Notamacropus eugenii: one gene and its partners. The protein of the gene in region 4 interacts with the protein of the main gene of each other region in a pairwise test. Links are inferred from orthologs where the notes say so. Each region holds a gene or a part of one and is shown on either strand. Other genes may lie near its edges. The genes, in order: TBC1D9B, PHF10, STAC3 and L3MBTL2.

Region 1 (7,925 bases), on a different chromosome or scaffold from region 4:
TTTTTATTGATGTGTTCCCCCCACTTTCTGACATCAAATTCATTTCCCAATTATTCTGTGTTCCCTTCATCCTCTTTACTTCTCCTATTACCATAGACCTTTCCCCTGTAATGAAGAAGGACAAGTCAAACAAAACAAGTCAACATATTGGTGATATCTGATGACAAATACTTCATTTTCCAGTTACAGTCCATTTCTCCACTGAGAAAAAGGAAGCATGCTTCCCTATCAGAAGACCAATTTTTCTTTTAGTTCTATTTCTGTACTTATCTATTTAAAATTTGGTGACTCCATAAAGATAGAAGTAGCCAGTTTTTCCTGACCATGCTTCTAACACAAATTAGTGTAGTGCTAATTTATTATTCTAGCACTTACCTAGGACCTAAGGTTGGGTTTCCACAGAAATTCATTTTCTAGATTACCAAATCTTATCCCTTTAGTTGTTCAAACTTGCTTTATTTTAAACATTATGGATACAAATGTTCTAAAATGCAGGAAATATATCCCTGCCTTCTTAAACAGAGAATACTGAGAATAACATTTTGAGAGTACACAATAATTGATGTATAATTCTGCATAAAAATTAGTCTTTTCTCAGTGACTAAGGGTTATCATTATGAGTGCCAATGACTATGCTCTAACTGTAATGAAATCATTCCCCCAAGGCCTACGGAAGTTTATGGAGCTCTTGGCTAGGCCAAATGGCTTTGGACTGGGTTGGGCTGTTTTTTTCTGTCTCTTTCTGGCTATCAGTTATCTCTTCTCATTGTTACATTTCCCCATAGTCTTTGTGCTCCCACTAGCTACTATTCTCACATCATCTAATCATTCATTCAATACTTTTAAGAGCCTATTGCATTGAGAGCACTCTTTTGAGTATGGGATACAGTTTAGATAAAATATGATATCTGCCTTCATAGTCTATTAGGGAGAAAAGGATCTAAATTATGTATCTAAAATATGTAATATGATCTAAATTCATCAAAGAGTTGAAAAACAAAATACCATGAGGTGTTAAAAAGTCATTAGAACCAAAGAAAGATTTCTGGGAGGAGGTATCATTTGAATTGGGCTTTCAAGAAGAGTCATGCAGGAAGAGCATAGAGCACATCCAGGATAAAGATATTGGAGGAGGAAGGCCCGGTTCATCAGAGGCACAAAGTACATGATGCTGATCTGAAGGTCTTTGCTTTTTTCTGGTTGGGGGAACATTCCATATGTTTGAGAATACTAGATGTCTGACCTCTGGAAAAGTGGGAGTGTTAAATGTACTGCGTTTCTCACTATATAACTACTTTATACAGTCATAATTTCTTCTTTATGGTCTTTATTTGTTCTATCTATAAGTGACTAGTCTTTCCTTTTCCTATAACATTGGCACGGAAGCATGTACTGCTTATAGAGACAGGTTGAATAATGATTCCTGTGAAGTGGTCATATCATTTGAATGTTCCAAGTTATAATTACATGTAAAATATGGTTACTGGTTCCAGCCCAATGGAAATATACAATGACAATTTGAATGTGACCTCTTCCTTGGGTTTACTGTTCAGAGACTGGGACCTAGCTGTATTACCTTAACTTCTAAAGGATCCCAAAGCACTTTTGAGATATCTATCAGCATTCACTTCATTATTTAATTCTTTAACAAATCATTTCTTAGGCACCTGAGTATAGGGAAAGTTTAGATGAGAACATAGCTGTATGAGAAAGACAAATGAACAAAAACTGTATGAGAGAGATATACGCAAAGAGCTCTGTGAGGTCCAAGGTCATGATCAACAGCAGGATGAGAACAGAGGACTGGGGCACTTTCCCTGTCTCTCCACCGCGATGTACCCCAAAGTACAGAGCACTGGAAATCTGTTCAACAAAACTCCATCGCTTTAGCCTGGGGCTGGAAATTCAAAATCTAACATGTCGACCAAACGATTTTGTACCAAAAGTTCGGCAGGAGCTAAAGTCAACCAAACCGGTAGAGAATTTCAGGGAGTAGAACAATTAGCTGGTGTGAGATCTGCCTGGATTCTGGAGCTAATACTTCGGTATTTCCGGGGATTAGCACCGACTTTTCACATAGGAAGGTCAAGTTCCTCCCCTGATTCTCATGACCAGGCTAAGACGTTCAGGGGGGGCAGATGTTACTGGAAGGCACCCTTGACATCTGGGAGAAGCCACAGCTGACTGAGAGGAAGAGCCAGAAAACTACAAACAATTTCCCCTGGGGATGTACCCAGGCCATCAGGCAGCCCAGTAACCTCCCCTCCCGTGTTGGGAGGCGACAAGCCAGGCCTGCTGACGGGGGGCTCTAGTGGCATCCCCCGCCCGGGGCGGAGGGGAGATCCTGGGCTTCGCTGAAGCCCCAGCGCTCTCCAGACAGCTCGGGGGGCGGGTCCGGAGGCCCTCCGCGGCCAGGACCTGCTCGGGAGCTCAATTTCCCCATCGGTATAACCGGCTGGACACATGGCACGCTCCCTAAGCAAGCTGGCACCTCTTGATTCTTTCCCGAAGGATCCGGGGACCCCCGCGGCAGCCTCTCCCCCTCCAGGGGCCCCGGAGGGTCGCCAGATGTTCCAGGGCCCCGCCCCCTCCCAGCACTCCTTTAGGCCTCTGGTCCTCGCCCCTCCCCCTCTCCGGCGGCCCCGGCGGCCCCTCCGGCCCGCACCGTCCCCGGCCTGGGGCTTCCCCGTCCGCCGCCCCGGCGCCCCGCCGCCCCGGCCCTCACCCGTGAGGCCGCCGCCCTTGCCGTGGCCGCGGCGCCGCTGCAGCAGGAAGAAGGGGTTGGCGCGCTCTGTCACCCACAGCGCGTTGGCCACCAGCACCTCCTCCGGGCTCAGCCACATGCTGCCGACCCGGAGCCCCGCGGGCTCCCCGGAGCAGCAGGAGCGGTCGGGCTCGGGCCGGGCCCAGCTCCCCGAGAAAGCGGAAGCGAAGCGGGCGGGAGCACAGGAAAGAGCGATGGAGCGAGCGCAGCCGAGCGGAGCCGGGCAGGGAGTGAGGGCCTACGGGGCCAGGGACCCGGCGTCCGCACAGCGCCCCCTGGCGGCCTCTCGGGGCACCCCAGCCTCGCGCAGCCGGGCCTGGCCCCGCCTCCTCCCGCAGCCTCGGCCACACCCCCTTTCCCGGCTCTTCGCTCCGCCCGCCCCTTGGCTCTCTTTCCCCTCCCTCTTTTTCCTCCGCCCCCTTACTTCTTCTTTCCCCTCCTTCCCCTCCTTCCTCTCTCCCTCTCTCCACATTCTGCCTTTGCCCAGCAGGTCAGGCAGCAGTGAGTGCACGGGCAGCTCATGTTTCCGAGGGGGCTGAGGTCCTGGGGCCGTTCCCTGGGCTCTGAGCTTGGCCTTCCGCAGGGAAGTTCCATGGGACTGAGCACATCATTCTTGTCTCTCCTGTGTTTGGGTGTAACTCTGGACTCTGTCCTGAGGTCTCTTCTTTCTCTGTAGTCTTTCTTTTGGAGATTCCATCAGTTGTATGGGTTCAACTTTTGTATCAGTGTAAAGGCCTCCCTAAGCTACTCTCCAGCCCACATCAATATGTAAGAGATGAATTAAACTTACGTTTCCACAGAAAATATGTAAGATATGTAATACCAGTGATAATCATTTAATATCATCTTTGGACCTCAATAAGGGCCAGAGCCTGAACTAATCAACAAGAAGAAGAATCTGGACCTCACAGCTTCTTTGTACTCTGAGTAAACTTAGAGAGTACCTCTGCCTGTGTCAACAGCACCAGATGGGGCTGACTTAAGAGCATTTCTTATGAGACCCTTAACTAAGACACTTTCTTGAATAATGGGACTTTTTCTTAATATTTTGTGGACATATACTATGTTATGGCATGTTAATGGTAAAGAAAGCACAGATATCCTGGGTCTCAATTTCAATCAATACTTTGTCAACTCTCTTATCTTATTGTATTTACCACCTTTTCAATTAAGATATCACCTAACCTGTTTGCATCTTTAACCAAACTTTCAGGTCAACATCAGAAAGACTGCACATCAGTTAAGGGAATTCCTTTAAAAGAATTTATCTCATGTCATTCTATAATGAAAATGAGGAATGTGGCCCACGTGGGGTGGGCTGAATCGTGGAATGCTGGTCAATGGAGAGCAAGGTGGGAAATTTGAATTGGGAACAGCATGAAAAGGCTTGCTTTGGTCTGAACAAATGGAGCAGTCCATCAGGAACCACTCATTCATTCAGGGCGATGAGCTTTCCTGATTTCACAACAAGTATTGTTCTTTGTTTGAAGTATGTTTCTAACAATTAACTATTTGCTGAACATTTCCATATGGATATTCCATAGGTAGGGGTGTAAATGACAAATGTCTAACAACTGACGTTCAGAAAAAAGTATACAGAACGCACCTTTAAGTTTAATTTGCATTATTAACATTTTCTCCATCACTTAAAATTTTTTTCCCACTTAATTGCATTTTGTTTTTCCCAATTACATGCAAAATAGTTTTCAACATTCACTTTTGTAAGATTTTGAGTTTTAAGTTTTTTCTCCCTTTCTCCCTCTCCTTCCCCAAAATGGCAAAAATCTGATATAGGCTATACATGTACAATCATATTAAACATATTTCCACGTTACTCATGTTGTGAAAGAAGAATCAGAACAAAAGGGAAAAACTATGAGAAAGAAAAAAAAAAGAAAATAATATGTTTTGATCTGCTTTGAGACTCCATAGTTCTTCCTCTGGATGTGGATAGCATTTTCCATCATGAGCCATTCAGAGTTGTCTTGGATCATTTTATTACTGAGAAGAACTAAGTATGTTCATCGTATAACATTGTGCTTCTGCTCACTTTGCTCAGGACCAATTCATGTAAGTCTGTCCAGGTTTTTCTGAAGTCTGTCTGCTTATCATTTCTTATAGCACAATAGTATTCCATTACATTCATATACCACAGCTTGTTCAGCCATTCCCCAATTTATGGGCATCCCCTCAATTTCTGATTCTTTGCCACTACAAAAAGAGCTGCTGTAAATATTTTTGTATACGTGAATCTTTTCCATTTTTTATGATCTCTTTGGGATGCAGACCTAATAATGGTATTGCTTCTCCATCACTTTCTTGAGTGTAGACAATCAATAAATCAATAAATTAAGTCCTGATTTGTAGTATTTGCCAGTTTCTGAGGAATAAATGTTCACACTGAAAATTTAAAAATTGATTCTGGTGATGTAATTCAAGCTGGCTCCAGTACACCTCCTACTATAAGCATCTCAAACTCAAGATATCCAGAATAGAACTAGACACCCAGGTTTGCAGCCTCAGAATCAACTTGAAGGCCTTGCTTCCCACCATATCTGAACAAGTGCCTAAGCTTGTTCATTTTGCCTCTAAGACATCTCTCAAATTCAGTGTTCTTTCCATTAATATGGTAACCACCATAGATCAATCTTTCCTCACCTCTTTTTTTTAAAATGAATTGATTTGTTTTCTACAATCATTTCCACAAGTCTTAGATTCTCCCCCCCTCCCTTCTTCCTCCCTCTCTGAGACAGCAAGCAATCTTATATGGGCTTTACACATACTTCATTCATTTATTTATTTATTTTTAGTTTTCAATATTCATTTCCACAAGATTTTGAGTTCCAAATTTTCTCCCCATCTCTCCCCTCACCCCATCCTAAGACACCATGCATTCTGATTACCCCTTCCCCCAATATGCCCTCCCTTCTATCACACCCTCCTTTCCCTTATCCCCATCTTCTCTCTTTTCTGGTAGGGTAAGATAGATTTCTATACTCCATTACCTGTATTTCTTATTTCCCAGTTGCATGCAAAAACAATTTGCAACATTCATTCCTAAAACTTTGAGTTCCAACTTCTCTCCCTTTCACCCTCCCCACTCATCTCTGCTGAGAAGGCAAGCAATTCAATATAGGCTATACATGTGTAGTTACGCAAAAGACTTCCATAATAGTCATGTTGTGAAAGATTAACTATATTTCCTTCCATCCTATCCTGCCCCCCATTTATTCCATTCTCTCTTTTGACCTTGGCCCTCCTCAAATGTTTACTTCTAATTACTCACTCCTCCCATTTGCCCTCCCTTCTATCATCCCCCCACACCCCACTTATCCCCTTCTCCCCTACTTTTCTTAGTGTAAGATTTTCATACCAAATTGAGTGTGCATGTTATTCCCTTCTTAAGCCATATGTGATGAGAGTAAGCTTTACTTTTCCCCTCTCCCCTCCCTCTTTTCCCCCTCCATTGAAAAAGCCTTTTCTTGCCTCTTTTATGAGAGATAATTTGCCCCATTCCATTTCTCCCTTTCTCCTCCCAATATATTCCTCTCTCACCCCTTAATTTTATTTTTTTAGGTATCATCCCTTCCTATTCAACCACATATATTCTTATTAACCACATTTTCACATTAGTCATGTTCCATAGAAGAATTAAAATGAATGGGAGAAACCATGGGAAAAAACAAGTCAAAATAAAACATAACACAAGAGAAAATAGTCTGCTTTCTTCTGCATTCTGATTCTATAGTTCTTTCTCTGGACTTGGATGGCATATTGCCTCAAGAGTCCTTTGGGAATGTTTTAGGTCATTGCATTGTTGTGAAGGGCTAGGTTTACCAGAAACAGTCCTCACACACTGTGGCTGTTACTGTGTACAATGTTCTCCTTGTTCTGCTCATTTCACTCAGCATCAGTTCATATAAGTCCTTACAGGCCTTTCTGAAGTCCCCCTGTTTATCATTTCTTATAGCACAATAATATTCCATTGCATTCGTATACTACAACTTGTTCAGCCATTCCCCAGTTGATGGGCATCCCCTCGATTTCCAGTTCTTGGCCACTACAAAGAGAGCTGCTATAAATATTTTTGTATATGTGGGATCCTTTCCCATTTTTATGATATTTTTGGGATATAGTCTTAGAAGCAATATTGCTGGGGCAAGGGGTATGCACATTTTTGTAGCCCTTTGGGCATAGTTCCAAATTGCTCTCCAGAATAGTTGGATCAACTCACAGCTCCACCAACAATGAATTAGTGTTCCAACTCTCATATATCTTCTCCAACATTTATCATCTTCCTGTTTTGTCATGTTAGTCAATCTCATAGGTGTGATGTGGTAACTCAGAGTTGTTTTGATTCGCATCTCTCTAATCAATAGTGATTTACAGCATTTTTATATGATTATAGATAGCTTTAATTTCTTCCTCTGAAAGCTGCCTGTTCATATCCTTCTCTTACCCAGACTGTTTTGTAGCCTCCTTATTGGTCCCCTGATCTCCAATCTCTGCCCTTTTAAATCTTTCCCCCCCACACAGCTACCTCATGGACAGTTCTGACCTTGTCCTTCCTCTGATCAAGAAGTTTAGTGTCTTCCCTATTGCTGCTATGGTAAAATATGTTTGGTATTTGAAGTCCTTCACAATCTGACTCCAGGTTGATTTCATACAGTTCCCTCCTCAGGCACTCTGTGTGCTGGACAAATTGGCCCCCTGGCTGTCCTCAGGACATGGCATTCCATCCTCTTGCCACCGTGCCTTTCCTTAGCCTTTCCCCCCTGCCTGGAATTCCCTTCCTCCTCCTCACTTCCACCCCTTAGAATCTCTAAATTACCCTAAGATTTAGCTCAAGTATCACTTCTTAAAAGAGACTTTTCCTGATTATCTTAGTTGTTGGTACCTTCTTTTACTTTTAATTTATTTTGTATGTACATTACTTTTAATTTATTTTGCATGTACATATCAGTGTACATGCTACTTAGGTAAGCCTCTCAAAGGCAGGGATATATTTCATCTTTGTCTTTGTATTCTTGTTGCCTGGCACAGTGCCTGGTACCTAGCCATCATTTAATAAATGACTGTTGTTGATTTGAACATCATAAATTAATTTAGTAATTGGCTAAATGGCAACTCTGTACCCTTGATAACTTCAGGTCCATTCACC
Region 2 (7,896 bases), on a different chromosome or scaffold from region 4:
TAAAAATTTGTTTTTAAAAATTAAATAGTCTAGTTTTCCAAATATGATTACGCCTGATCTCTAGCAGATGTTCTTCTAGCAAACAGGGGTGGGGAACCTGCCATGCATAGCCCTCTAGGTTCTCAAGTGTGGCCCTCTGACTGAATCCAAACTTCACAGAACAGATCCTTTTATTTAAGGGGATTTGTTCTGTCAAGTTCAGATGCTAGAATCTAGCATCTCTTGAGCATTATACATTGTTCTCCTGATGATGCTATACCAATGCAAATCATACACACAATAATGTTAGGAAAATTAAAATTACAAGTACTCAAAGGGCAATGGAGATCTTGCTGATGGTTATAAGGTTGGCTTCAGAATATTACCAAGACAAAAAAATGCTATAAAAGATATGAAGATTAAGAAACTATAAAAGGTGTCAAGTCAGTGATTACTGTGAAAATCAAAAGTGAATAATAGAAAACCCCTGTATTACTATATACTTCTGAAATCTTAGAAGAGCCAGAGGAAGCGCATTAGAAAAGTTCAGGGGATTTGTGATTTTCTCATACCAATAAAATCATCATTTCAAAGTAAAAGAATTCCAGTTTAAAAAAAAGACAATTTCCAAATCTAGAGTGGTTACATCCTTAATCTTGAGATGACTGACTTTATTATTAGTTCATAGTTATTTACAGGTTGGCTCTCCCCTTAGAAGGCTAACTCCTTGAGAGCAGGATCTGTTTTTGCCTTTGTATCCCTAGTACTTAGCCTGAAATACAGTGTTTGTTCAATGTCTAACTGCTGTATTTCAACTTTTTTACTAGATCTCAAGATGAGTTTTTAAAAGTATTTGCTTCTCTTTCAACATTTAATCATGACTTTTAAGCCACAAAGTATTTTTAACTTCTAAGATTACATATGCTCATTTGGATATTTTTCTCTGCCCTTTCATTTAAAAATATTTAAATTCTTATTTTGTCCTTAGTTCTTCCCCCTTGCAAAATAGGAAGATCTCCATTTTTCCAGTTTGTACTTAAAAAATCCAGTTGAAGAAAAAATGCAAATAAAAATTGTCAGAAATATCAAAATGCCCTAGTTTTGATTCCATTTTTTGTATTATCTTAAGCATATGCTTTATTAATTTTTGGTCAAAGGCTGGTTTATTTTTCCATGATTGATAATTTTTTTAGTCAGCTTCTCTAAAAAAGAAAATGCTGACTCAGATTCACAGTTTTGAAAATCTAGGCAAATGTTTAAAAAATAAAATACGTGGCATTTACATCATAGTGTAGATACAATATGGTACTTTGGATTTAGATCTATCACTGTCACTCACAGCTGAAGTCTCCCTTCTTTCACTAGTTAGAGATAAGTTAGAACTCCTCGGAACCTTTTCCTCATTTGCATTTTATTTTCCAGAGGGGAGGAAGGAACTTCATCTTTCAATTTCATTGCACAGGGACCTCCTAGTCTGAAAACACCTTCCACTTAAAGCAGATCAGCACCCAAATGTATAACCTAAAAAAAAAAAAAAAAAAGTGCCTGGGGCACTTAAAGTTGAGTGACTTATCCAAGGTCATAAAGCTAGTTAGAGGTGGGGTGGGTCTCACAAACTGAAAGGCTGACTCTATACTTCAACTGTGTTGAGGTCATATATAATGGGAGGATTATAATATTTGAATTTCCTAATTCAAATGGTTGAGGATCAAGCAAAATAATGCATGCAAAAGTGTTCTTGTAATATTCTATTCATATTTTCAGGAGCAATTTTCATTCCAATTTTGGCCAGTGCTTATAAAAAAGGATGCAGAAAAAATCCCCAAAACAACATAATCCCACAAGTGGTTATCCAGCCTTTGCTCAAGACAGCCCATTTCCCTTTTGGGTATTTCTAAGTTTTTTACTAACATGAAATCTAAATTTGCCTTTTTCCAAGTTCCACTCAATGCTTCTGCTAGATCCAAGCAAAACAAACTTAATCCCTCTTTTTCAAAAAGAGGCAAAAAGGTCATTTTGTAAACAAAGTTCCGGAGTAAAACTGAAGGTGTCTTGGATGAAAAAGGTCTCCTGAATGAGATTCTTTTGTGGTGGTCCTATGTTAACTTCTCCAGTAAACTAGTGACTCACTATAAATTCAATAACTTGAAATAATTACAAGTGTTACTTCAATACTCCAACGGCTTTGTGACTGCACACATGTGGACATGCCAAAAATGTAACTAGCTACAAAACCTTTCCAGTTCTGCGGCGTTATCCGGAGCTTAAAAACTCTTTACAGTGAACTTAAGATCCGAGTTAATATCCGGATACACCTGAGCAAACCGCACAAAAACAGGACCAAGTCCTTTCTTGGCAGCGACCTGAACTGTGGAGACTTCTGTCCGGGCCCGGGTGTCCCAAACGATGCCGACAGCCAGCCCACAGAGGCCAGGCCGGGCCGCCCGGGGGGCGAAGCAAGCAAGGGCCAAGATCGAGGAAGACTTCCTTTCTGGGGCTACCTGAGAACTTTTGGGGGAGGGGGGTGGCTTAAAAATCGCTCAGGAACGACCCGCAGGCGAAGCGGGGTTAAGCCCCGTCTGGTTGCTCCCTTCCTCTTCCGTGTTTTCGGTATCCAGGCTCGCTGACAGCTTGGGGCCGGACTTTTCGGGGAGGCTGACGGGCACATCCCTGGCAACTTCCCTAGCTTGTGGCCCTGACTCGGAACTGCAGAGACCCTCCCGGGACCCCGCCCGCCTGCACCTGTTTCCGGGGTACCCCGACCCCGTCCGGCCCGCGATGGGGCTGGCGACCCCCAGGGCTAAGGGCCGCCGTTAGGGGCTCCCAGGGGCGGGACGAGCCCGGGGACCCCGCAGGCCGGCGCCTTCCCCGTTCGCGGGCCCGCTCACCTTCGGGGACTGGGCTCCGGGCGTAGCCGGGTTGCTGTCGCACAGGCGCGGGGAGAGCACAGCCCCGGGGGTGGCGGCCGCCGCCGCCATCAGCCCGAGCCCGAGCCCCCCGCGCCGCCGGCGCCGCCGTCGCCGCCGCCTCGTCCTGACCGCCGCCGCCGCCGCCGCGCGGAGAGGCCTCCGCGGCGTCCGCTCCCCCGGCCCCGCCCCCTCCCCTGCCCCCTCCGCCCGCCCGCCGCCGCCGCCGCCGCCGCCGCCACTGCCGCTGCCAGGCGGCCGGCCCCGGCCCGAGCCCCGGCCGGCACCGCCGCCGCGCGCCCCCCGGCTCGGCGCCGCCGCCGCCACCGTCACCGCCACGGTCGCCGCCAGCGCTGCTGCCGCCGCCGCCGCCGCCGTCACAGTCACAGTTCCCGCCGCCGCCGCTGAGGCTGCTGCCGCCGCTGCTGCCCGGAGAGCGGGGGAGCGGGAGAGGAATGGAAGCGATCGCGGCTCAGCCCCCTCCTCACGTCACCCCCTTCCCCTCCCACCGCAGCCCGGCTCCCCCGCCCCCTGGCCCATCCTGCTGCCGGCTCCGCTGGGTCCGCTCCCCCTCGCCTCGATTTCCCCACCCCGCCCCCTCCCCTCCAGCCTCCTTCCGCAGCCCCAGCCTCGGCGGCCCCGCCCCCCTCTGTTCTCCGCTCCCGCCGCTGCCGCAGCCGGGCCGCTCTGCGCATTGGCCGCGGCCCCCGCCCCGCCTTTGTGTGGTGTGCGTCCGGGGGCCGGCGCGTCCCCTCCCGCCCGGCTCCCTCCTAAGGCTGCCCTGCCTTAGGAGCTCCGGGGCGGAGCGGGGCCTCCTCGGGAGGGCTCTGCGGGGTGCGGGGCGGCCGGCTTCCGGCCCTTTGGCCTCCTCCGCCCCTGGGCTGCCTTTGTCCTCCCTGCTATTGTGTCCTGTTCGCCGGAAAACACCCCGGGAAAGGGCGGCGGGCTTCGTCCCGGCACCGAGAGGGCGGTATAGGGGACTGCACGTGGGGAGCCCCAGCAGCAATGGGGGGCACCTGTACACGGCAGACTGGGGTCCCCAAATACAGCCAGGCCCCCAGTCACCTGGTGCCGGGAAAGATCGATCTCACTCGGGGGTGACTGACCTTACATACATACCCACGTGCATCTGCACACACGCATGAGAGAGGGAGGTGCTGATTGGGACAGAGAGCCCATGTGCAATCATGTCTGTATAAATGTAACCGTGTGTGTACATGTTACATAGATGTATGTGTAGTTGGGGCCGTTCCAACCAGTCAGCCCAGACTGGGATAGAGATAGATATCTGTATGCCCCCCCTGGGGTGTACACAGATAGATCAGGTAGATGATAGATAACCTTCATGCTTAAGTATGTCCTTATTTTTCCTCTTTCTAGGCTAAACTACCTTCTTCAGCTGTAGCTACCTCTAGTTCTTATGGTGCAGTGGATAGAGCACCAGTGCAGGAGTCAGGAGGACTTCAGTTCAAATCTCCCCTCAGACACCTGACACGCACTAGCTGTGTGACCTTGGGCAAGTCACTTAACCCCAATTGCCTCATCCTGGGCCATCTCCAGTCATTCTGATGAATATCTGGTCACTGGATTCAAATGGCTCTGGAGGAGAAGTGAGGCTGGTGACCTGCATAGCCTCCCTCACTCAAAGCAATGTCAAGCGCAAGTCATGTCATCATTTCTGTGATGGCATGGTCTTCTTCAGAAGGAAGGACAAACACACACAACAGAAATTATCAATGGAGTCAAACCATGATGGGTGATCCAACAAAGGAGAAGCCAAAACTGACCAAAACTTTTTGCATGTACCTCTGAATCAGGTTCTTCAACTGTAAGTCGTAGAGGCTGCCATTCATCATGTGGCTAGCAGAACAAAACTCATTTCAGAATGTCTACACATTCTTCAGAGTCCTTCCAAGGCACTTCAGTCTCCTTAAAGAAAGTTCCCCAGCTTCTCCTATGAGGAGAACTGTATTGACCAGGCTGCTGCACTCATAAAGGACTCCTAAGAACTGAGCTTATTGGTCAGTCCCTCATTACACATTATAGAAGAAGAGACAACAAATATATGTAAGAACATATTCTCTGAATTTACCTAAAGGCAGGCTTAAAGTGCCCCCTCACAGTTCTAGGTGCACCCTTAAGTGGGTCTGACATGTTTCTTCTTTACTGCTTTCTACTTGAGCCCCATCCCTATCCCACACTAATTGCTAATGATTAATGACACAGTTGTAATAATGCTGACTTTTACAAAGTGATTTTTACTTTGATTTTTAAAGTACATTTTATTAATGTCTCCTGTCTTTGCATCTGTCATTTCAACTTTCACCCTTCAGATTACTTTCCCTGTGATTAAAAAGACATCAAAACAAAGTAAAAGCATCCAATATAGTGACATCTGAAAATGTATGCTGTAATATGCATTATAGTCTTCCATGGTACTGTGGAGATATGTCATCTGTTTTCCATCTCCTTTATTGGTTTTTCAGTTACTCAATACTTTGTTTTACTGATCTTTTCATTCAAGTTGTTGTAGTCATTATATGTATTGTTATCTCAACCAGTTCATGTAAATCTTCTCTTGTTTCTTCAAATTTTTCTTATTTCTTAACTGTACCATAATATTCACATTTTTTAAAGATCCTCCTTTTCTCCCTAATACCATCTTCTCTCCCATTGAGAAAAAAAGAAAACCTACGTTATAAACAGGAATAGCCAAGTAAATCAAATTCCCAAACTGTCTGTGTCCAAAATAAAATTTATCTTAATTTGTACTGAGTCCATCACCTACCTGCGTATTAGAATGCAGGTAACATGTTTCATTAAAAGTCCTCTGGAATTGTGCTTTTTCATTGTGCTGATTATAGATCTTAAATCTTTCAAAGTTGTTTGTCCTTACAACATTGTTGTTAATATAGAAATTGTATTTCTGTTTACTTCATTCTGCATCAGTTCTAACATATAACGCTTCCCAGGTTTTTCTGAAACCATCTTCATTATTTTTTTACAACGCAATATTATTCTATTACATTCATATACTATCACTTGGTCAGCCAGTCCCTAATTGATGAGTTTAATATTTTTTGAGCAGTTCTTTGCTACTTCAAAAAGAGCTTCTATAAATACTCTTGTATACATGAACCCTTTTACTCTTTTGTGTATCATTGGATCAAAGAGAATTCACAGTTTAGTAGCTGCAGAGGGATAATTCCAAATTACTTTTCAGAATGTCTAGGTGAGGTCACCATCCAGAGTAACAATTCATTAATGTTTCTGTTTTTCCACAATACCTCTAGCATTTATTTTTCTTTTATCAACTTTATCAGTCTAATGGGTGTGAGTTAGAACTTAAGAGGTATTTTCATTTGCATTTCTCAAATTAATAATTTAAAGCATTTTTATATGACTTGATAACTTGGATTTCTTTCTCTGAAAACTGGTTATTTATATCCTTTGTCCATTTATCAACTGGGGAATGGCTTTTAATCTTAGAAATGAGTCAGGGAAACTTGCTGAAAACATATTTTCCTCATATCTGCTTGTCTAATTTTAACTGCATTGCTTTTACTTGTGCAAAAACCTTTTAATTTTATGTAATTAATATACAATTGGCAATAGAAACCTATATTGCCCAATGAGAAAAAGGGAGAAGTAAGAAAAAGGGGCAAGGGAAGTGATTAAAGAGAAGACAGACAAAAGAAAGCAATTGTCAGAAGCAAAACAGACTTTAGAAGGAGGGATATATAAAAAGAGAAGCATAAAGAGAAGAAAATAGAATGGAAGGAAATGCAGTTAGTAATCATAACTGAATGTGAATAGAATGAAGGCACCCATAAAACAGAAGTGGACAGCAGAATGGATTAGAAATTAGAATCCAACAATATGTTGCTTATGAGAAACACACTTGAAACAGAGAGTCATGTATAAAGTTAAATAAAGAGGTTGAAGCAGAATCTGTTATTCTTCAACTGAAATAAAAGAGGCAAGGGCAGCAATGATGATCTCAGATAAAGTAAAAGTAAAACTAGACCTGATCAAATGGTATAAGCAGGAGAATTACATCTTTCTAAAAGGAACTATAGACAATGAAGTAATAGTAATACTAAAATATATGTGCCAAATGGGGACCCCAATTTTCCCCTCTCAGAACTAGATAAATCTAACCATAAAATAAATAAGAATTCAAGGAGATGAATAGAATGTTAGAGAACAGTTAGATAAAAGACTTCTGGAGAAAAATGAATGGGAATAGATAAAAATATACCCTTTTCTCAGCTATACATACCTCCTTCATAAAAACTGACCATGGATTAGGGTATTAAAAACCTCAAAACCAAATGCTGAAAAGCAGAAATGTTAAATGCACCCCTTTCAAAGCATAAGGCAATAAAAATTACATTCAGTAAAGACCATGGGAGAATAAAAATTAATTGGAAACTAAATAATCTAATTGTAAAAAACTGTTGAGGTTTCAACTCTAGGACACCAAAAATTGTTTTGGTTTCATGATGTATTGGGGTAGAACTGTATCAAAGAATTCAGAGTCAAACTACCTCTAATCCAAGTATAGGCATTTATTGAGATTGTCGCCTCTCAAAAAGCTGATTAAGTTCCAAGAGGAGCTAGCAACTTCCAAGAAAGCAAGATGGATTTTTGTAGGGTAAAGATATAATTACATAACAGAAATTTACATAGAATATAGGAATATGATTAATATTAAAAAGGCAGAAGGAGTTTGTTAAGGGATTAGGTAATGGAGGAGGGATCCCATCTGTGGCTTAGTGGTTAAGCATTCTGATCATGCTGCCCTCCATTTGGCTAGCTGTTGTGGTCCTGTCTGGTCAAGATAGATAGTTAAGTATTATGGTCCTGTCTTGGACTGGATGGGTGATGTGATTGTGATTGAGTACAAGAACATACCTGTTCAAATATGTGGGAATGGGTCTGGGGGCAGGTAGCTAAGTAGAGGCAGTGGTTGGGTTCCCATCACATGGACATGCCTGCTGTTTCCGTG
Region 3 (7,102 bases), about 68 Mb from region 4:
TTTAGGGTTTGCAAAAGGCTTTATATGTTAACTCATTTTATCTTCAAAACAACCCTGTGACTTGGGTGCTTTTATTATCTCCTTTTTACAGATGAGGAAATTGAGCCTGGGAGGGTAGGGTCCCAGCATCTGAGGCAGGATTTGAACTCAGACCTACCAGGTCCAATTCACTGCACCACCTTGCTTCCACTTGACAAAATATGCACTTGGCTCATCAAGGGTTTGATAAAAAGTCTCTTCTTTTAAGGCCTCTCCTTTTCCATGGAACCTTCAAATGAGGTAAAAATAGGAAAGGAATAGGACCGAGGTAATGTAAACAAGGTATACTGATTCCTATTAGGCTTCATCTTGTTATTTCTGCCTATCTTTTCAGCCCTAAGAGATGTTTTTAAATTGTAATTCTGTCAGCTAGCACACTGGTTACCTGTCCCTGCTTCAGGTCATCCACAAACTTGACAAACATGTTGTTCCAGGCAGGTCTAAAAGCACTTGGTTACTTCACAGAATCTGCTTTTTAAAAGCATTCAGCAATGCCTTGCTCAAGTCAAGGCACAACTAACATTTTCCTGATCCATTAGTCCAATGGCTTCATCAGAAAGTGAAACAAGGTTAGTTTAGCAGGAACATATTTTCCTCTTCTTAAAAGCATCCTACCTGATAACCTCATCATAATGCCCAACTACTGTTCTCCTCCCCCTCAATGGCAGTCACAGTCCCCCAGCTGTAGTTCTAAGGGATAATCTGGAGAATCTAGAACAGCTTTGTGGCAAAGTCAAGAAAATCTGAGTTCAAATGTGACCTCAGATATTACTTAGCTGTGTGAGCCTGGGCCAGTCTCTTAACCTTTGCCTGCCTCTGTTTCTTCATCTTTACAGTTGGGATGGTAATACTACTATCACCTATCCTCCAGGGATAAAATGAGATATTTGTAAAGGGTTTTGCAAACCTTAAAGCTCTACAGACATGCTAGCCATTATTTTTATTAGGCATTCCTGAGGGGTCTCAAGCAGGTCTCTTGGGAAGGGGGTGGGGCTCCAACCATGAAAGGGGCAGAAGAAGCTCACGTTCTTCTTGTCTGCTTGTCCCTTCTTCCGCTCTTTGTTTGCCATGATCACTCCAGTTCGAAGTGTCTCAAAAACAGGGTCATTTCGGTTGGCTAGGAGTAAAAGGGGGCATAGGAAAGAGAAGGAAACATTACTGACGAACAGGAAGAGAGGGTCCTCTTCTGTGGAAGACAGCAGGACTGAGTGGATACAGGTGGGGAAGGAGGTCTGAGAACGTAACAGGGAAGTGAGGGGGGAGACTAGAAGTTTTGCTTTCTACTTAGAACTCAGGGACACTTGGGCCTAGAAACAACAGGGCTGGTATTCAAGATAGGTATGGATTCCTTCCAAGAGTCTACAAGCTGGAGTGGCTAAAAATTTCAGGATGAGAATAAAACCAGGGTGTCTAGAATTTAGGCATCAAGAGACTTCAGTCTTAAGTTTCAGTTTCCCAAGTCAGGAGTGGTGCAGTCATGGTGACCAAGAAGCTTCCAGACTACAGAAACAATCAATTTTCTGGCATATTTCCCTCAACTGGGTGGAGGAATAAAGGCAACTTACACAGTAGGTCCTTGACACAGGCATACTGCTGGTCACTATAGAGTGGAGAACTGTAGGCTCGGCGGAAACCAGGGGGCTGTGGGGGAGACAGGAAGGTGATTGAGACAAGGGGAGAGGGCCCTGGACCCAAAAGCCCCCTCTCTGCACCCAGGAGCCTTCCTCCTTTATTCAGGGGGGTTTTGTCCTTTATGAGTGGGGCTGGGGAAGCAGATACCAAGGAATGAATGGGGGTAACTTATGAAGCATTCATCCAGAGTACAGATGTCCTCAACACTACCCTCCACCCCCGTGCTCCCAGACCTAACTCACAATCTTGCCAAAGCATCTCTGCATCTCCACAAAGGATTGGCAGTGTTCATGGATATTGGTTTTGCAGTTCTTGCATCGTAGCCCAAATTTGTTGTTAACTTGGTAGAGGGAAAGAACATTTGGGTGAGATCACGAAACCTTTTCTCTACTCCTCTGCTTCCAGCATCACCCCAATCCCGAGTGACTCCTCTTTCATTTCTTAGATTGCCTCAACCTATCCAGGCTTCTCTAAGCACATCCATTAACAGTCCCCACCTTCATCTAAATTTGTGCAATATTGATCTCTCTCCCAGTCCCTTCAACCCACAGTCCCATGACGCTCTACACATCCCATCTTCCTCTATTTCCCAGACTCACGAACAATCATTCTGGCACAGACATCACAGAATTTGGGCTTCTTGAAGAAATGATCTTTGAACTTGTGGGGCTTGTCATTGACAAGCTTAGGGGGTTCAGGGGGTGGCTCCTCTTCCTCCTCTTCTTCCTCTTCCTCCTCCTCATATATGTAGTAGATGGGTCCCCCCTGAGCCCCTACTGCCTCTCCATTGGCCTGGGGCTCAGAGGGGGGCTCCATCTCCTTTCTTTCTACAGACTCCTTCCTGAATAATTGCTTCAGCCTTTGTAGCTAGGGAGGAGCAAAGGGAAGATTCAGACTACAGTTCCACTTCGTTAGGCTAAAACCACCTGGGAAATGTTCTGGGTCAAGGGTTGAGATGTTCCCCAGAGGGGAGAGGGAGTGAGAGTGTGTGTGTAGGGCAAATGTACCTTAAATAAATTACACATAACTGAGATGAGCCCCACAGCCTCTAGTTCTGTAACCATCAGTTCAGATAAGAGTGGGGTTGTTAGTGTGCCCTCCCACCTATCAAAGCCCTGTGTCAGAGGCCCAGACTCACCCCACTCTTTGGTGTTTCTGTTGGGAAAGATTTGGGAGAATCCAGAACCTCTTTTTCTGTCATCCTGCAAGAGTGGGGATCCCACTGTTGATTTTTCATCCTTCCTTGCCACCCCTCCCCCCTCCCTTTCTTACTTCTAGGGACTCAACTCACCTTGTAGGATAGGACAAATAGAGCTTTGGGAAGAGAACTGCAGGTCTCTTAAGCTGAGACACACAAAGGGGGTCTCTATCTCCCTCTTCCAGAATGAGAGACTAATAAACAAAGGAGCCTAAACAAGGAGACTCCATATAAGGGCCCAGACTGGGAGATGACCGAGGTAGGCCTACGGAAGACAGCCTCCATTCCCTTGTAGAAGTTCCATCAAGACAGACTTCTCATTTTGAGGCTTTCTCTTTTCTTCAAGGCTATAGGCAGTTGTATATGACCCTATGTAACCTTTCCCTGGATTCCTTTTCTCCCTCCCCCAAATTCTCACTTTGAGAAAAGAGGTAGAGAATTCCCGCTCCCCTCATTTCTCCAAGCCTGGGGGTGGGAGTGCGTTTTAACACTACCTCTAGGTCAGGCCCTGCCCCAGCCTGCCTTGGGGGTTGGCTATTTTTAAGTTTTCAATGTAATATGACCTCCCTTCTCTACTACTCTATACCCTGGACATTAACTCCCCAACCCTCTTTCCTGATCCCAGCCCTTTCTTCAGGGAAAGAAATGACTGGAACTGGTACACCCCAGACTACTTAACAGCCAGGTAAGGCAAACGGGAGAGGTGAACTGGCTGAGAGATGTGGGAGCCCAAGGAGTCACTGTCTGGTAAGTCGTAAGAAAAGGCAACTTACGTTTGGGATTCCCTATGTCAGTCCACAGCCAGTGGAGGTAAGAGGATGCCAGGTTAGGAGGCTTGGTGTTGGTGTTGGATGGGAATGGAAAAAGAAGGCTTTGTCCTCTTGCCCGGGGGGCTTTATACCCCCAAAATACCCTTGGTGCTCACGTCTCCCCAGCTGGTGCGTGCAGACCTAGCCTCTCCCTTCAGCGTCACAGCTTAAGTGACAGGGCTAGAGGAGAGTGGACAGCTGAGCAACACAGCTGACACAGAGAAATTGGAAACTAAAAGGCCTGGGGCAGTGTTGGACCCTGACCTCCCTCCCCCAAATCTCTTCAGCCACAACTGGCTGAGATAACAGCTGCCCTATCCCCACCCCTTCACCTATGTTCAGTATAGTAGTAACTAAATGCTTTACAGGACAATTCCGCTCATATTTTGTGCCCCTTTAGGAGGGATTCTGGAAAGTTGATTGGAGTAAAAAAGGTTACAACCTGCCCCTCCTCCACTTTGAAAACTAAACACTTTCATCATTTCTATCTACTCCGGACCCACCCTTAGAAGCCATAGGCTACTGGCTTCAACTCCACCTATTCACATCATCCTTCCCCAAGTCTTTGTAGGGCACCTACATTTGAATATATCAAGGGTGGCTTTTTGTCCCTTTATGAACACTTCAGGCAGATGTAGTCCTAGGCTGAGAACTGGGGTGGGAGATAAAAGAAAGACAACTCAAGTTCACAGGGTTACTTCTCAACAAGATATGGCTGCTTCCTCATCCCTGGTGAGGGGAAGGGGATAGCTTACCTGTCTTGCAAAGAACTGTACAATCTAATATGGCCCCCTTTCTTGAATCGTATCTGGACATTCATTCCCCGCAATCTCCCATCCCAACCACGCTGGCAGGGAGCCCGAGTGTGACTGAAAGTGGTCTAGGATCCATATGGGAAAAGGGAATGAAGAATCTCAACAACCCAATGACCAGATGGGGGTGGGGGGGAGCTGCCTCCATGTTTACAAGAAACAACAATGGAGAGATAGTTTCAGCTACTTAAGAAAATGTCCTCATAACTAGTGTATCGCCAGACCTCTATTTCCTGACCCTCCCACCATGTTAGTCAAGAAGACTTTAGGGGCAAGATGGCCCTCCCATTCCCCCTCTCTCTGATGGTTCTCAACATCCTGATTCCCCTTCCCCCACACCAGAATGCCCCAGAACATGGACTTCACAAATATGGCCAATTTGTACCTGAAGTGCATGTCACAGGATCATAGGGTAACAGATTTCTAGAACTGGAAGAGACCTGAAAGGTCATCTAGTTTGACCCCCTCATTTTAAAGATGAGGCCACTGATACCAAGAGACCTTGTGACTTGCCCAAGATCACCCAGAGAGTAACAGAGCCAGCAGAGCTGGAATTCTAACCTAAGGCCTCTGACTCCAAGTCCAGGGCTCTCTCCACTGTACCAAGCCATTCTTCTTCTATTAGTTTGGGTAGGGGGATAGCTTGGCGGGGAGATACTCCTACCACAGCAGAGAAATTGTTAATGACAACATATTGCCTCACCAATTCCAAGTATGAAGTATGAAGACCCTCTAACAGCTGGATTAGACTGGAGGGTCAGAAAAAACCCAATAGAGAAGCTACCTAGCCCCAAGTGAAAGCTCAGGCTGTTCAACCCATTTCTGTTCCTTTCTACATGGGGTCCAGTGGGGTCAAAGATCGCCAGTAAGTTTCTGGCAGTGAGGTTTTGTGTAGGCTGAACTTGAAGGTGGATCTACTTCTAGGCATCTGGGTTCTTAAGATATCTTAGGATCGAGGGCAACTTAAGGAAAATGAGATTTACTGAGAGGCATGAGGATCAAAAAGGGGTATGTGGCGATATAGCATAGGGCTAATTTGTTAGGTATGACTTTTCTTTCTCCTGTATGTAGGAAAGGGGATGCTGAGACTATCCTGACTGACTGAGGAAGTCAAAATACTGCAGGTTCTGGAAATGCAGCTTTTATTGCAGGGAACACTTACTCCCCTATTACCTGCCAGCACAGTATTAAAAAAGACTTCAGGGGGAAAGTGGAAGATGAGGGCTGGGCCAGAAACTCAGCTGCATTCATGTCCTCACTTCATACCTGCCCCATCAGGGACCTGAAGCCAAAGGTTTAGACACCTACAGGAACAGGTGGAGGATTGATGGGAGAATGAAAGAGGGTGGCAGGATCACATCCATTTGGAAGGCAGCTCCACTCCACTCTATCCCAAATCCTTCCCTGCAACCCCCTCCCAAGGGCAGTAACAGAGAAACCAGGACTGACGTCCAGTGACAGATGATTTTTTTTTATATTTAAAAACAAAACAAAAATAAAATAAAATAAAACCCCCCAAACAACCCCCCAAAACAAACAAAAAACCCAGATTAAATAAAATTTACAGTGAACATACCCAGCAAACATCTGTATGTGCAATTAAATACTGTGTCTGTTACTGCGGCACGAACCTCAAACAAACAATATACAAGTGTTCTGGGGGGCTGGGGTGGATAGAGGAGGGGTAGGCACAGGTTTAACTCATGGGATAGGGGAGACAAGATGGTGGGGAAGTGAAAGGAGGGGGAAAATCAATTTATTTTTTTCTTCTTAATTCTGTCCATATAAATATATTCATAAAGACCAAAAAGAGGAAGAGGAGATGGGGTGGCAGGAGAAGGGGAGGAATGGGGGAGTGTAGGACCCCTCCATACTACCCCTCCAAAATGAAAGAAATGCATTGGAGGCCAGGATGGGGAAAAAGGGATGTCCAAAAAAGGAGGGAGAGGATTGGAGGGAAAGGGAGGCAGAGAGGAGAGGTGCCACCCAGAGAAAGAGAGGGAAAAGGTGGCAAAGAAAACCCCAGACTGAGTCCTCTGTGTGTGTGTGTGTGTGTGTGTGTTTGTGTGTGTGTGTTTGTGTGTGTTTGTGTCTGCCTGTCTCACTGTCTATGGCCTCAGTCTCCATATCTATGTCTTATCTCTATGCATGTCTCATGTCTGTCTGGATCAGCATCTCTATCTGTGCTTTTTCTGCATCCCTTGCCCACACCACCCTGCCCCAACCCGTGGTGCTGGCCTCTTCCCCTCCTCTGCCTACTGGGAGCTGGCCCGCTCCAGGATCCTCAGGTCATAGTTCTTTTTGGCCACTCGAAGTTTGAAGCGACTCACGGAGTTGTTGAGGCGGAGGGAGGCATTCTGGGCCGCCAGGGGGCTGGGGAACACAGCCACGATGGTGTATAAGGCAGCGAGGTCTGTGTGCCGGCCATTCTCGGCAGTCCCATTGTTGTCCCCCCCACCCCCCCCACCGCCCCCGCCCCCGCCGCCTGGCAGCCCCTGAGCGTCCTTGAGCCACTGGATCTTGGCGCCGGACATGGCGAGCTGCGTGAAGAGTTTGTCGGCCTCTGTGCGGGTGATGCCCTCAGGGAGATCTGTCACCTCCAACACCCGCCC
Region 4 (7,059 bases):
TGGAGGCAGGAAGACCTGAGTTCACATCCCACCTCAGACACTTACTAGCTGTGTGACCCTACGCAAGTCACTTTCCTCATCTGTAAAATGAAATAGAGAAGGAAATGGCAACCCGAAAGGGGTCACAAAGAGTAAGACATGACTGGAAAAAAAAGGCTAAAAATATACTGTTTACTATGTACTAGGCATTGTGCTAAGTCCTCTACAAATATTATCTTCCTTGATCCTCCTCACAACAACCATGGGAGGTAGGTGCTATCATTATCCCCCTTCTACAGATGAGGAACCTGAGACAGACAGAAGTGAAGTGACTTACCCAGGGTTACATAGCTAGGGAGTATCTAAGGCTGGATTTGAGCTCAGGTCTTTCTATCTCCATGCTCTGAGTCTAGCTGTTGTGCTCCAGATCAGAGTTAAGAAGCTGTGCAAAGTTGCAAAATTGTTTTTCTTCACAAATAGTTGTAGTCCTTTTATCAGCTAGTTCTGCCCATCATGCTGCATCAGTTCATACCATCCAGGATTCTCTGAAACTGTCTCTTTGTTCATTTCTTATGGTGTAACACTATTCTATTACATTCACAAACAGCAGTTCTTTTCGCCATTCCCCAATTGTCTAAGAGGCAATATGATACACCCCTGTAGAGTCTATTTTTTTCTCCTTTGTTTTCCACCTGCAGGATGAGAATATTTATTTGGTTTATGATGTTTCCCTCTTCAACATCATTCTCTCTCTTAATCTCCACCACTTTTTTTCCTCCTCCAGTTGAGATGGTTGGTGTTGAGCCTGTGTGTGTTTTCCATCCTCCTTTTTTTATTTTGGGTAAGAGTGAGGTTCATTAAACACCCACTTCCCCACCCATTCCTCTATGTTTGTATGTCTTCTCAACCCCCACAATTAAATGAAATAATAATTTCTCCCTTTTTCCTCCTTTTAGACACTAGTACAGTCCTCTTTTTACTCTCTCTCTTTTGGCAGTTAGTCCAGTTTGACTGAAACAGTGTGTTGAGGGGACCATGCCACAGTCTGAAGGTATTAGTGGAGTCAGAGGGGCAAGGCTCAATGACTTTGAACAAATTATTTTCCTTCTTTTGAACCTCTGTAAAATGAAGAGAGTTGAAAAAAATATTTATTGTGCTAAATACTGAGGATACAAAGAGAAAATTGAGACAGTTCTTGTTCCTAAACATCTTTGATTCTAACTGGAGGTAGAAAGCACAGGATAGGAGGATTCTGATGCAGGACAGAAGGCAATCTTATTAGGGTGCTGCAGCAGGGTGGATGGTAAGGCCTAGTGGTCTTCTTCATAACTGGGAGAAGAGGATCTGACCATTCAAGGACCAAATTCGATGATCCTATACCATAACCTCACTCTACATATTTAGTCTTTTCTCACACTTTTCCACTCATTTTGTCTATGAGCAGTCAGTCTGGACTATGAGATATACTGAAAATATTGTGCTTTTCTGCCTCTAGGCCTTTGGTCAAGCTAATTTTTGTGCCTAGACAGATCTTCTTCTCCTTGTTCCATTTTTGAATTCCTTTTGAATTCATCTAATTCAGATACTCAGAACTGTAAAGCAACCTGGCATGTTGAATAGGGCATTGCATTTTGAGTCAGGAAGACCTGGGTTCGAATTCCACCTTTGATACTTACTAAATGTATAATCTTGGGCAAGTGATTTAATCATTCTGGGTTTCAGTTTCCTTACCTTTAAAAAGATGTTGGAATCCATGGTTTCTATTGTCCCTTCCAACTTTAAATCTATAATGTTATGATCTACCCTTTATGGCACCCAGAACAGGGCAGGCAGCACAGGATTTACCTGGTTGCTTCTGTGTCTAGCCCAGAGGAGCTTGCCTGGAGAACAAATAGATCATTATGTATTTTCATTATTTTCATTTTCATTATCTATTTTCATTATCTATTATCATTATTTTCAAGTCAGTTCAACAAGTATATATTGAGTGCCACCGTGTACCACAGACTGTGCTAAATGCTAGGTATACAAAGAAAGATAAAAGACAGTCCCTGCCCTAAGGGAGTTCACAGTCTGTTGGGAAAGACCACATGCAAACAACTATGAATGAGCAAACAAGTTACAGATTGGATAACTTGAAGATAATCAACAGAGGGAAGGCACTAGCAATAAAGGGGGATGTGGAAAGACTTCTTGTAAAAGATGGGATTTTAGCTGAGGCCTGAAAGAAGCCAAGGAAGCCAGGTGGCAGAGATGAGGAGATAGAACATTCCAGGCATGGGGGAATAGCCAAAGAAAATACCCAGAGTCTGGAGATGCAGGTTCATGTGCAAGGAACTGCCAGGAGGCCAGTGTCATCAGATTAATGAGTGTGTATCAGGGGACCATTGGAAGGGTAGGACAGAGCTAGGTTACGAAGGGTATTGATTTTGTATTTGAGCCTGGAGGCAATAGGGAGCCAATGGAGTTTATTGAGTAGGGGATGACATGATCAGACTTGGGCTTTCGGAAAAAATACTTCAGTGGTTAAATTGAGAATGGATCGGAGTGGGGAGAGATTTGAGGCAGACAGACCCATCAGCAGCTACTACAATAGTCTAAGCATAAGATGATGAGCATCTGCATGAGGGTGGCGGCAGGGTCAGAGGAGAGAAGGGGGCATAATTCTGCAGAGGTAAAATCATCAAGACATGCTGCAGCGATGAAATCAACAAGAGGTGCTGCAGAGGTGAAATCAACAAGAGAAGCTGCAGAGGTGAAATCAACAAGAGATGCTGCAGAGGTGAAATCAACAAGAGGTGCTGCAGAGGTGAAATCAACAAGAGAAGCTGCAGAGGTGAAATCAACAAGAGATGCTGCAGAGGTGAAATCAACAAGAGAAGCTGCAGAGGTGAAATCAACAAGAGAAGCTATAGAGATGAAATCCACAGCCCTTGGAGACAACTTGGATATAGGAGGATGAGAAAATCCAGGATGATTTGGAGATTGGGAGGCTGAGGGAGAATGGTGATGCACTCGGCAATAATAGGGAAGTTAGGTAGATTATGAGAGGCAACAGGCTCAATGGGCAGAGAATAATCCTGGGAGTCAGAAAGACCTGAGTTCAAACCCTGTTTCTGTCTCACATAACCCATATATGACACTAGACAAATCTATTCACCTTATTGCCCCAGACAGCTCCGAACCACTATAAATTACAGAGAAGGTAAAGATCTGCATTGGTGGAGGGAGTTTCTTCATTGGAAGGTGAGTGAGAAGAGGAGCGAGGCCAATGGAGCAGAGGCAGCTATATTCTACATGCAAAACCACAAAAGAGCTCCTTTTCTTGGTGGTGGTGGGGGTGGGGGTGGGGATCACTGTCAGTAATCTATACACTATCCAAATGGTAGAGTGCAAACAATACTGAACTTGGAATCGGTGCGACTTGGCTCTGAACCTCTTCTCTGTATTTATTAGCTTCATTATTTTGGACAAGTCTCTTCCTCATCCTGTGCCTCACTTTCTTCCTCTGTAAAATGAGGGGGGGTTGCACTGGATGGTGTCTCAGGTCCCTTCCAGCTGTAATTTATAATTCTTTAATTTATAGGTCATCTATAATCTGTAATTCTATGAATTGATCTTGAGTCAGAGCACATGGCTTTAAATCTTGGCTCTGATTTTTCTAATAATGTTATCTTGGGTAAGTCCTTTCCCCTCCCTAGGCCTCAGTTTCTTCTTCTGCATAATGAGGAGGCTGGTCTAGACTGGCTGCTGAGATCCCTTTCAGCTCTATCTCTAGAATCCATCACTTTCCTGGACCTCCATTTCAGCTTCTGTATAATGAGGGTCGCTGGCCTAGACAGACTCTGAGATCCCTTCCAGTTGACGCCCTAGGATCCCTTCAGCTCCCTGAACCTCAGTTTCCCCCTCTGCATAATGAGGGGCTGTCCTACACCGCCTCCGAGATCTCTTTCAATCCAAAGACTGAAGGCTTTATCAGCCTATGTCCTCTCAGCTCCGTCCCGCCCCCTTCTCACTCCCGGGACTACACTCCCCACAAGGCTTAGCGGGCCTATCTAAGCACGCGCCAGGATGTGGGCGGCCCTTCCTGCTGCTCTCGGCGGCGACTGGCCTGGCGCCGCGGGACGGCTACCAATGGGCTTCGTGCGGGCGGAAGGCGCGGCGGCCATGGCGGCGGCGGGCTCGCGGTGAGGGCTTCGGCTTGGGTTCGGGCTTCGGGCTTCGAGCCTCGCGGCCTAGGCGGCCTCATGGAGCGGGGCCTCGAGGTGAGCGTGCTCTGGTCGGGGCCCGGCCCGGAGAGCCCAAGCGCCCCCTGGGGCCGGGCCGGGGTCCCCTGCGCAGGGCGGAGGAGTAGACGGGGAAGGGGAAGCTTTGTCCCTTTAACGGTGGGTAAACTGAGGCACGCGCAGTCGCAGAGGCGGGGGACCGAACACGTGCTTGCTCCCGCCGCAGAGGCGCCCGCGACCCTTAGCCGCGGTGACCTCGCAGGCCTTTTACAGAGAGGGAAACTGAGGCCCGGAGAGGCCTGGCCCGGCGTCCGGGGCCCTCGAGGGAGGCTGGCGCGCCCAGGCCTAGGGGGGCCTGACTCTTCCTTAGCAGAGGGAGCTCCCAGGGGAGCGCACTCCCTCCGCCTCCCCCACCCGCGGCCGTGGGCTTCCCCGGGGGGCCCCGGTGGGGGAGGGGGCGGGTCAGCCTGGGGGAGCCCCCCCCATACTTAGCGAAGCCCCCCGGGGCCCCCAGCTTTGGGCAGAGGCCGAGACCCAGCCAAGGTCACCCAGTCAGAGCTGGGCCTCGGATGGGCTTTCCCGGTAACCGGGCTTGGCATGCAGTAAGTGCTTAATGAATGCTGCTTGGCCCGCCCCGCCCCGCCCCCCGGGTGCCTCTTTTTGTTCCTGTCCTGGATACTAAGACCAGAGCTTCGCCGACTCCCATCGCTCCGGGCACTGGGCCGGGCTAACATCCGTCCGTTGGCCCCACGGGGTGGCGTTATTTGTATTTATTGTGCTTGTCATCATTTGTTTGACCCCACGTGGAGGGAGGGAGGGAGGCAGTCAGTGTTAAGCACCTGCTGTGTGCCCCACGCAGAAGTCAGAGGCCCTTCCCAGCCTGCCGTCCCTTGGCGGCTCTTGTCATCTCTGCAGATGTTACTGCAATGACCCTCTCTAAGAACTGGAGGGGATTGGGGGCTTCTTGGTAGTCACCTAGAAGGCTTTCCAGGTACAGTTTTAGATTCCTGCACCAGGGGTATCCTGGTTTAATTCACCCTTTTGTGCCTTAAAAAATAGATTTGCCCGAGTCACCCTCCAGCAGCGTCCTTGGTGGGTGGAAAAGAAATAAGGGTGAGCAGAACCCCCAGACATGGCAAGGCCCACAGTGGAAGTCAGGAGTAGGCTCCCAGCTTTGGTGGGGGGGTCTTTAGGGTCACTCCCTCTTCCCTTGGGCCCCTCCCTCTGTCTGCTCCTGAGCCTCTGGGCAGGCCCACTGCTCTGCACCAGTTCCTATGAGTCTTTTCCAGGTTTTCTCTGCATTTGTCGTCTATGTCATTTTCCATGTCACTCTGCATGTCCAGGCCACCTTTGGTTCCGCCACACCCCTCTTGGGCCCGCCGTGCTTTCCTGAAGAGCTGGGACTGTTTTATTATAGGAGGCACCTCTGTTTCTGTGGTCAACCTCTCACTAGTGGGAGGCCTGAGGTGGGAGTTGCAGCTTTGGTCAAATCATTTAAATCTGTCTTCCCGAACAGCTCCACCAAGACTGTATTGGGGTCCCCCGCCGACAGGGACCGGTCTCTTCCTTTGTCATCTTTGCCCATTTTATGACTCACATGTCCAATAAGAGTTACTTGAATTGGCTTTTCTCTTATGATTAGTGATTTTGGGCTTTGGGGAAGGCATCCATGTCCTTTCCCCTCCTCTCTTATTGCCCTACCCCAACTGTGGAAAGGCCCAGTTGGTCACCCCCTCACACCTGGTTTTGAGTAAGCTCAGTTTTAGACAGTGTATGAGGAAGTGTGCCCAGAGACAGACAGACAGACAGACTGACAGACATACCCACCTCTTCCTAATCCCTTGGTTCCCTTTATCATTTCTTAGACCTCTGTCACTTAGCACAGCTAAGTGTGTAGTTCTTGTGTTTGTCCTTCTTGAAGAGGATCATGACGTAACTCCTGCAGCAGACCTTGATTTGAGTGAGAGGGCTGTCCAGTTATTCTGATGAGTGTCAGGCCACTAGATCCAGATGGCTCAGGAGATGAAAGTGCACAGCCCTCCCTCACTCAAATCAAAGTCAGCTATAGTGTATTGAGTGGTAGGGACTCAGTAAATACTGGGTAACTTCACTTGTTGACTCAGCTGTTGAGTTGGGGGTGGGGAAGAAGGGGTATTAATGGTTGTGTGTGTGTTTTCACATCACCCTCCTTTCTGAAAATGTCCCCTTTCTCTCCTGCTTCCAACGTGAGCTCTCCCTTGTCAGAAAGAGTCACCTTTTTCATTGTCCATATGGGACAGTATTTCTGGGACCTTTGAGGGGGTCATTGGCGGGGAACCAGAGACCCAGTGCAGAGGCCAACCTGGGGACCTTCTCTAAGCCTCCTCCTTCCCTGCCACACCCAGGTGCTCAGCAAGCATTTATTAAGCACCTGCTCTGTGCCAGGTGGGCCCTATGTGCCAGTCCTCATGCCCAACCTGTGGAATTCCGAGGAAGACAAAAGGCAGGCCTGTCCTCAAGGAGCCCACGGTAGAACAGCAGTCTGCCGTCCTCACTTTCTGTTACTTTCCCACCAGGAGACACCCTCCTCTGAGAGAATGGAAGATGAAGAAGAGGAAGATGAGGAGGAGGAGGAGGAAGAAGAGGAGGAATTGGACCTCTTTGGGGACTACGACACCTTCCAGGGCTACACCAGCAGCCTGGGCAGCGAGAGCAGCTCCTACCTGGAAGAGTCCAGTGACAACGAGAATGAGCTGAATGACCGAGAAGCCGGGGAGCTCCCCACATCTCCTCTGCTGATGCCCAGCCCCATCACCCCTCGCTCCCAAGATGGCAGCGGTTCTGAGCCAGGTGCTTTCCAGGGCCCCTGAGGTCA

What was found.
Region 1: the proteins of L3MBTL2 (region 4) and TBC1D9B interact in binary tests that used the Homo sapiens proteins (3 or more experiments, as listed by UniProt). The two-hybrid records come from large-scale screens. The link is inferred for Notamacropus eugenii from reciprocal best matches to the Homo sapiens genes L3MBTL2 and TBC1D9B.
Region 2: the proteins of L3MBTL2 (region 4) and PHF10 interact in binary tests that used the Homo sapiens proteins (3 or more experiments, as listed by UniProt). The two-hybrid records come from large-scale screens. The link is inferred for Notamacropus eugenii from reciprocal best matches to the Homo sapiens genes L3MBTL2 and PHF10.
Region 3: the proteins of L3MBTL2 (region 4) and STAC3 interact in binary tests that used the Homo sapiens proteins (3 or more experiments, as listed by UniProt). The two-hybrid records come from large-scale screens. The link is inferred for Notamacropus eugenii from reciprocal best matches to the Homo sapiens genes L3MBTL2 and STAC3.

The regions. Positions count from the first base shown.
Region 1 is NC_092872.1:416,422,776-416,430,700, reverse strand, and holds the start of TBC1D9B (TBC1 domain family member 9B), read right to left. Parts: upstream 3,006-7,925; 5' UTR 2,844-3,005; coding exon 2,726-2,843; intron 1-2,725. UniProt on the Homo sapiens protein: May act as a GTPase-activating protein for Rab family protein(s).
Region 2 is NC_092873.1:266,066,046-266,073,941, forward strand, and holds the start of PHF10 (PHD finger protein 10), read right to left. Parts: upstream 3,017-7,896; 5' UTR 2,958-3,016; coding exon 2,868-2,957; intron 1,501-2,867; exon of another isoform or gene 1,319-1,500; intron 1-1,318. UniProt on the Homo sapiens protein: Involved in transcription activity regulation by chromatin remodeling. Belongs to the neural progenitors-specific chromatin remodeling complex (npBAF complex) and is required for the proliferation of neural progenitors.
Region 3 is NC_092874.1:232,680,176-232,687,277, forward strand, and holds the start of STAC3 (SH3 and cysteine-rich domain-containing protein 3), read right to left. Parts: upstream 3,005-7,102; 5' UTR 2,909-3,004; coding exon 2,810-2,908; intron 2,539-2,809; coding exon 2,271-2,538; intron 2,012-2,270; coding exon 1,914-2,011; intron 1,681-1,913; coding exon 1,605-1,680; intron 1,157-1,604; coding exon 1,065-1,156; intron 1-1,064. Other genes in the region: R3HDM2 (R3H domain-containing protein 2), read right to left, coding at 6,746-7,102. UniProt on the Homo sapiens protein: Required for normal excitation-contraction coupling in skeletal muscle and for normal muscle contraction in response to membrane depolarization. Required for normal Ca(2+) release from the sarcplasmic reticulum, which ultimately leads to muscle contraction.
Region 4 is NC_092874.1:300,263,207-300,270,265, forward strand, and holds the start of L3MBTL2 (lethal(3)malignant brain tumor-like protein 2), read left to right. Parts: upstream 1-4,059; 5' UTR 4,060-4,226; coding exon 4,227-4,244; intron 4,245-6,760; coding exon 6,761-7,034; intron 7,035-7,059. UniProt on the Homo sapiens protein: Putative Polycomb group (PcG) protein. PcG proteins maintain the transcriptionally repressive state of genes, probably via a modification of chromatin, rendering it heritably changed in its expressibility.